Linked DNA regions of Rattus norvegicus. The protein of the gene in region 1 interacts with the protein of each later gene in a biochemical or structural test. Links are inferred from orthologs where the notes say so. Each region holds a gene or a part of one and is shown on either strand. Other genes may lie near its edges.

Region 1 (4,010 bases):
TCTCCCTGATGCCCCCACTCCTTGGACATTTTGCTAACTACTCTTGTTCACTTCTTGCAACCCCTTCTCCATGGCCCAGTCCTCCTCCTTCTGAGTCAGGTCTTGGTATCACATCACCCTCTCTGTAGTTATTGTGTATGAACAACCCCGGTGTGGATATTTTGTTCATCTCTGATTCATCATAGCAATAATTAGTATCCCTTACCTGACCTCAGCTAAGACTCTTCTCTCACTTTCTGCAAAGACACGGCTACTGTTTCTATTTCACTTACATCTCCTCCTGGACCTTCTTTCCTCTGCCTTGCTTTTAAATGCCAGCCTTCTGTAGGGTCCTGGCTCAGCTTCCCTGCTCTCATTTTATACAATATTTTTTAAAAGTATTTTGCCAATTCCTATGGTTTCTGGTTCTCCCCCCCAAAGGTGAAGACTTGCCAAGTCTATGTTTCCAGCTCAGATCTCCAAGGTAAGTTCCAGATCTCAGGATTCAACAGCTTTGGTGAGTAACCATCAATTTTTGAACTCTATGGGCTCCAAATTGAGTTTATAATAATTCCCTCTTTCAAAACTGTTTCTGCTCCTTCGTTATTAGGAGCTGAATGTAGGGCCTTGCCGTTGCAAGCAGGTGCTGTAATATGAAATGCACGTCTAGTCCCCCTCCTTGGTTGTCTCTCTATGATATGCCATCCACATCCTTTCAGTTGCCTAAACCAGAAACTGGATCTCATCCCTTGACTTCATCCACCCTCTCTATTTCTAATCAATGTTTAGGTTCTGTTGACTCCGTTTCCAGAAGTCGCTCTTGGGTCCGTCCACTTCTTTGCATCCTCACTGCCAGCCTCTCCATCTGTGCTAGCATCATCTTCCAGCCAGATTTGTGTAATGCAATAGCTTTCTAAAGTATCTTTCTGCATTCTATCTGAATCTCAACACCATGCAATCAATCCTGGCAGCACTATTTAGTGGATCCCAATGCCTCAGGAGGAAATCTACACATTATAGCAAGAGCTATAAAGCTCCCCAAGCACACTCTAGGTTGGTTTACACTGTTATTAGGAACCTTCAAGGGTACATGTTCCAGCATACAAAAACTGTGTTATACTGAACAGACATGCTATAGCCTTAAACTTTGAGCTTTTGAGACAGGATATCTTTCTCTAAGACATTTTATGCCTCTTCTGCTCTGTCACTTGGTTCTCTGTCATATTTCCCTACTTGATCACATCCATACCCCAGGAAACCCGTCTTAATCCCCAAGGGCAGAGTAGGCTGGAGATGTCCCTTTTATATATCCACAATGCTTCTTCTCTTTGTGCTACCATTCCTGGCTTACTGTCTGTTTCCCCTATAAACTCAGAGCTCCATGAAGTAGGGTTTTCGTCAGTTTTGTTAAATGCGTATCCTTGTTGCCTAGCAGTTTCTGGTCCAATAAATCTTTCCTGAGTGAAAGAGTAAGTGACAGTGGGTAAAAGCCAAACTGAGAAAGCATGAATTGTTTCATGGGCTGAGTAAATACGTAGGGTATAATTTAACAATGTTTACTTCTTGAACATAGAATCCAACTCCTTCCTTTTCCATTTACTGAACCCGAGCTCCCAGGTTCCACCCTCAGTGAAGTTACTAGACTCCCCAATTCCTTTGTGTGTCCATATTCCAATCAGACCCTCTGTGGGATTTCTAGGCAGTGATTTTCTCTGTCCCTGTGTACTTGGCTGCAGACTGCTGAGACTGCAGACTGTGTCTAGTTCGTTCAGTGTTCCCAGCACTAAGCCTAGTAAATGTTCATTAAACATTGCAAACAAATATGGGGATGGAAAGGGAACATGCATTTTAAGATGTTCATTGAAGCAATGAAGATGCTACTGATGGGAGGAATGAGTCATTTGCAGCCGGGATGAGGGAAAGCAGTAGGAAGGGAAGGTGACACAAAGGAATGGGGTGACTGTTGCCAGGGGAAGTTGGCTCTAGGCAAGTGAGAAAAGGGATACTTGGGGCGCTGTGGAAGGGACTCAGAGACCTTCAGAGTGACAGAGAAGACATGCAGATGGGTGGAGGACTTGACCCTGGGAACAGAAGAGTTTGGGGACAAATGGAACAAGAAAGGTAGCATTCCCTTGTGCTGGTTAAATTCAGATCTGAATGTAGCCCTCTTTTCTTGGGAAAGGTTGGGGTGGGGTGGGAGACTATTACAACTCTTATCTCCCATTCAGGCAGTCCAGAGAGCTTATGCCCTCACCGGCCCAGCCCTCCTTTGCCCTTCATTCAGAGGTTCCTGTCGCTCTCTCTCCTTGGTACTGGCTCTGTGAACTGGATGTTAAAGGAAAAGAAAGCTAGACCTGCTGACAAGAAGAGGTCCTTGTTTCCCGGCTGTGTGATGCTGAGCTCGGGGATGATCTGAGTAGCTATGGCAGAGCAAGTATGAAGTCGGGGGTTTTGAACCATGATGGGAAGGTGTTGGAGTTATGAGAGCTTGGGAGCGCAGTGTGTGAAGGGGGGGGGGGGGTCTCTGTGTGAGTCGCGGAAGTCCTACAAAGGAAAACTATGGGCAGCTGACAGAATAGAGGTCAGAAGGGTTCTTGAATAATGCTGTGGGGTTCAGTGAGAAGGGCTTAGGGAGGCACCCACCTCTGGTCCCGGTTCCGCGGATACGAGGGGGTTCACAGCTGAGGTTCCCGGCACTACTGCTGTTGAGAAGGGAGACACCCGGGCGGCACAAAGAAGACCCCGACCCGGGTCCTGGTCCCTGCACGCTGCGGTTCAGCTTGAGCAGCTCCATGGCTCCAGTGAAGTCCCACTTAGCTCTGCTAAGCGAGCTCTAGCACCGGTTCCACCTGCTCCCGCGGCGCTGGTGGCTCAGGCTCCCGCCCACCACATCGCCCGCCCCTCCTAGTTTCCGCCCCCTGCCCTGGCCCCAACTCCTCCACTCCCCCACCAGCCTCCCCTTAACCTCAGCCGGTTCCAGGCTCTAGGCGGCTTTTTGTCCCACCAGGTGACTCTCGGCGCGCCTCCTCGGCTCCAGAGTTCAGCGCGCGCTCCTGAGTGACTGCTCTCCAGGCTCGCCCCCGCGCTAGTTTCTCCCTTCTTCTCTTAAAGATGCCTTTTCTGCCCACCTCTTATACCAATGCCCCTAGTTCTGGAAGAGTGTGTGTGTGTGTGTGTGTGTGTGTGTGTGTGTGTGTGTGTGTGTGTGTGTGTGTGTTTACACGTGCGCCTGCCGGAGGGATGGGGTGATGGGAGAGTGAGTAGCTACTGTGGAGTCCAGCATCTTTCTTTGGTGGTTTAGATGACGTGGTGATGGCGGTGGTGATCCGGTTTTGCGTACCAGGCTCCCCTGCTACAGAGCAGGTGCCTTAGTACGTTTGGAGCCGCAGTTACGGAGTTCTGCCGCAGTGGCCGCAGTGATCGCCACAGTGTCAGCTACCTTAGCTCTTTGGTGAGGATTAGCTTCTGCCTTGGCATATCCCACCTCCTATCTGAAACTCCAAACCTAGGCTTCTTCTTCAAAGACTCTAAAGAGGGTCCTGGAGGGTCGCAAAGAAGACAAGGAAAAGGGTTGGAGTGAACTAGGGCGACCGGGAATTGAAGTGAGAACTGCTCTAAATGAACTGAGTTGAGGTGTGGTACGGGTTCTGGTATGGGTTCTAGTTCTCGCCCTGACCAGGGTGAAAGATAGGGAGCAGGCAGCGTCCCTCGTCTTTAGGCAGCGTCCACCCACACCTAAAACGACGATGCTCCATTTGCTGTCAGCATAGGTGCAGCACCGGGGTAGGGTGTTGGGTTCCCATGAGAGGGGGCCAAGGGAGGACTGGGTCACTGGGTTGTGGCAGGAGAGAGCAGGGAACAAAGTCGAAGGCGCCTCTGGTGTGCAAGAAGGCTCAAGTGGACTCTGCTTCCTTAGGCAGGACTGGCCTCCTTTTCTTTTTCAGCCTTGTTTCTACCAGTCTCCTCCATTCCAAAGAAATTCTGGTGCAATGTGAAATATCTTTTGAGATCCCAAAGTGGCTATCAGAGGT
Region 2 (4,012 bases), on another chromosome or scaffold:
ACAGGCCCAGGAAAGGTCAGCGCTTGTCGATTCTGACTGTAGTGAACAAACAGCCCCGCGCTAAGCCGCATTATTCACGTTTCCAGACATGTTTGGTCCGTCACAAATACAGCTAATTCCTACAACCTGAGCTGTGTCATGGGGGGGGGGGGATCACCCCACAGCATTTAATCTGCTGCTGTTTTAAACACGTTGCTTCTAAGTAAAGAGACCGCTAGAGCCACAACCAGGAACCTAACTACTGCTGGCATCACTTGCCTTTTCATAGTCTCCCTCAGCCGGAAGGCCCCACGCTGGGTGCCTTCTCTATTTAGAAAGAGTTTCTAAGCCTTTCTCCTTCACCCTAGACTGGCAAGGTTGAGGGTAGGCTGAGGGTTGCAAGACTGTGAGAAAAGGGAGCCCCTCTCTTCTTCTTGCTCGGTGAGTATCTCAGCCAAGATCCTCACCACCCAGTGGAATCCCGTAACTCTAGAGGAAAGGAAGAACTCTAGAGGACGGGAAGATCATTGCAAGCTCCCCTGGATGTTGCGAGCCCAGCCCGCTCCAGTCAGCCAGCCAGAGCCTGAGGGTGCTTGAGACACTCTCTGGCGCCACTTCGCGACCAAAATCATCGGTAGATGGTAGACTGGTGAGAAGTCATCCTGGGAAGAAATGGAAACCTTTTCCCCAAAGGCTTTCCGCACAAAAGGCAAGAGCTGCACCCAGGATCTTAAAATTCTGTAAGACTAGAATCCAGGAGGCCAACTGTGATTGAGTTCTGAAAAATTGAGAGCCCTACTCCCCTCTCTCACTTGTGGGAGCCCACTCAGGTCTGAAGTGCTCCCAGAGAACATGCCAGAATTACATTTGCTGACACCTAGTCTGTGAGGGTCCCCCGGTTTCCTGGAAGGACTTGATCCCTCAAAGCTCACTAAACAGTGGTCAGCTTCTCCATTCCAGACAAACTCCTGCTTCTCTCCGGGAGTAGGGGTGGCACCCTCCCTGAAGAGGACTCAGCAGAGGCACCGAACAGGTGGGGAGGAAGCTGTTTAGATAAAGAGGAGGACTCATACAAAGTACCCCGCCTGGGAGGGGCTATCCTCATTCACTGGGCCGTTTCCCTTCTCCCCGGGGGGCCACTTCGATCGGTGGTCTCTCCAGTGGCTGCCTCTGAGCACGTGTCCTGCCGGACTGCGTCAGCACTGGGTAAACAGATGACTGGCTGAGTACCGGGCGGGGCTATTTAAGAGGAGTCGCCCTGCCGCCTGCCCTCAACTTAGCTGGACAGCAGCCGTTGGAAACCGCCAAGCCAGCTGACTCCGCATCCGAAGGTAAGTGGCTGGCAGATCCAAGAATCATGAGTGTGAAGAACTGGCCTGTAGCTTTGCATCTATTGCCGTTTAGTCTTTCCATTTTCTGTGCCTTCCCTCACTTGACAGCTGGAAAGATTTCCTGAAGTCGGAAATAACCTTACAATGCGTCTGGGTGGGTACTGCTGCGGAGAGACTTGCTCTCCTCTGTGTTCTCTGGCTAGGGCAAGGATGGGGATAGCCATTCTTAGGGTTTCCCTGTTGTTCGGAGCACTATGCAATCATTTAAAAGAAACTACCTAAAGGTGTTAAGACTTATGTCCATTTTTAAATGCTGCACTAAAAAAGAAAAAGCAGGTTTGGGGAATAGAAACACATCGTTATGATACAGGACCCATCTGCTCAGTTATTAAACGTAGCGGGGCTTTGGCCACATCTGAGGACTGGGCGCAGATTTCTGGGTTTTTGTTTTGCATAGTGGCTTTCCGTAAAACGCAGAAGAACCTCTATAAATACAGCTTCTCTTTATGGGCGCACACTTAAAACAGTGATTCCCATTGTCCTGCCATTTCTAATGTAGTGAATAAATTAAATCTCCCGCATTTCTCTCCAGGAGTATCTCTCCTTCTCCTCTCCTCTCTCTGTTCCTGTCTCTGTCTTTCTGTCTCCATCTCTGTCTGTCTCTGTCTCTCTCTCGCTTACTGCCCCACCCCCACCCCCACGCTTCACTCTGTGCTTTTCTGGTTAGAAGAGAGATACGCTACAAAGGCGTCCTGGAACTTCAGGAAAGCAGGAGGAGGCGCTGCTTCTGAACGGGGCAGTAAATCGGGTCTCTGCTAGATTCCCAGGTTCCGGGTGTGGGAAACACAAAAGCCAGACAGAAATGTCCCGAGGCGCGTGGTGGCCAGGGCGCAGCTAGAGACTTCTCTTGGCTACAGCTGAGCCAGTCTGGCGCAGCTGTAGCCCCCAGGTTCAGCCTCAGCCAACTTTCTGTGTGCGGGACTTTGGGCTGGAGCACGCCGCCGAGATCAGCCTTTGGTTCACGCTCCTCGCCTTTTGCTTCCCATAGATATGAAGTGCGGCGTGTGTCTGTGCGTGGTGATGGCAGTCCTGGCAGCAGGCGCCCTGGCGCAGCCGGTAGTCCCTGTAGAAGCTGTGGACCCTATGGAGCAGCGGGCGGAGGAGGCGCCCCGAAGGCAGCTGAGGGCTGTGCTCCGACCGGACAGCGAGCCCCGAGCGCGCCTGGGCGCACTGCTAGCCCGATACATCCAGCAGGTCCGCAAAGGTAAGGATGTCCGCTCCCCCTCAGGCTTCTGCCGCGGCTCCAATCTTTATCCTTTCCTCCACCGGCTGGGAGGAGGAAACGGGGTACGCACAAGGAGCAAGATTTTCACTTTTCTTTCCTGTGGTACGCTGCACTGCGCTGTGCAGTAGGCAGGTGGTGTTCACAGAGGAGGTAGCCAGAGGGCTTACCTAGTCAGGGAAGCGGGCTAACAGACCCTTTTCTGAACTGATTTTGACACGGTCTCAGGGATGAAGTATAACACCGTTTTAGGACAACATTAAAAAATAATCGAGTGCTGGTAAGAATCTTCAGATCTGTCCTATCCCCTCTGGTGTCTATGCAACGGAACTGGAAACCACCAGACACTGACTAGGGAAACCCTCTGGCAGGAAGTGGGGTCGGTGTTGAGACAGCCTGAGATCTGAAAAGAAGCAGTTGGCCTTGTGCACCTCTCCCCCGGCACAGAGCAGGAGGAAAGGGTCAAAGGGTGAAGAGCATTCCTTTGACTGTCAAAGGAGGATGACCACACAGGGAGAGCTGTGTTTTGCCTTTCTATCGCTGTTGGAAAGATGTTCCCAGTGCTGAAGACAGCCGAGCCTCTCCACATTGGGAGGCCTTTTCCATGAATCCCATGGGTGAGTCCACACCTTGCCAGTTGAATGTTTCTTTCTGTGCCCGAACCTCTCAGTTTTAGAGAAGAGTTGAGAGCAGAGCGACTCAGTTCCCCTCCCAGCTCTGGGATTCCAAGGGCAGCCTTCAGACGTCATGGCTTGCCCCAACAGCTCTCATCTGACTTTATCCACAGTGGCATGGATGGTGACCTCTGGGTGGGTGTTAACCTGGACCAGTAGAGCTGGATTAAAACACAGGAGGTGGGCATCCTTTTTGTGGAGCTCAGTAACCCAATTTGCCCATGGCTCCCCGACCCTGCCTGGCTTGACTGCGTGTGGCTTGACTGGTGAGGGGAAACTGAGGAGCCTGGTTGAGTCTCCTAGAGTTTCACAGGAAGATAAGATCTGGGAAAACGAAATGATTTCTTACTTTTCTTCCTGTTTTGGAACTCCTGCTACAGCCGCCCCTTTCTAGGTTATTTTCCTGCTAATTCAACAGAGAGGAGGGAGGGAGGGAAGGAAGAAGGGGGAAAGGGAGGAAGGGAGGAGAAGAGGGAGGGAGAAAAGAAGGGAGATTAGATAGATGGATGAATGGATGGATGATGGATGGATGGATGGATGGATGGATAGGATTGATGGATAGAGAGAGATGGATATAGATGGACGGATGGATGGATGGGATGGATGGTTGGATGGAGAGAGATGGATATGGATAGATAGATAATTGGATAATGAGAAAACCTGGAAACCTTGGGTTCCCCGTCTCCATTCCCTCTGATCGTTCATGTAGGATCTGCTCTCTGGTGTAGACCGCGAGCAGCCCCTTC

Evidence for each region. The genes of interacting proteins can lie anywhere in the genome.
Region 2: the proteins of Cckbr (region 1) and Cck form a complex in vitro, tested with the Homo sapiens proteins (3 studies listed by BioGRID). The link is inferred for Rattus norvegicus from reciprocal best matches to the Homo sapiens genes CCKBR and CCK.

The regions. Positions count from the first base shown.
Region 1 is NC_086019.1:169,182,376-169,186,385, reverse strand, and holds the start of Cckbr (gastrin/cholecystokinin type B receptor), read right to left. Parts: upstream 2,809-4,010; 5' UTR 2,774-2,808; coding exon 2,623-2,773; intron 2,414-2,622; exon of another isoform or gene 2,208-2,413; intron 2,101-2,207; exon of another isoform or gene 495-2,100; intron 1-494. UniProt on the Homo sapiens protein: Receptor for gastrin and cholecystokinin. The CCK-B receptors occur throughout the central nervous system where they modulate anxiety, analgesia, arousal, and neuroleptic activity.
Region 2 is NC_086026.1:130,034,788-130,038,799, reverse strand, and holds the start of Cck (cholecystokinin preproprotein), read left to right. Parts: upstream 1-1,202; 5' UTR 1,203-1,310; intron 1,311-2,358; 5' UTR 2,359-2,360; coding exon 2,361-2,574; intron 2,575-4,012. UniProt on the Homo sapiens protein: This peptide hormone induces gall bladder contraction and the release of pancreatic enzymes in the gut. Its function in the brain is not clear.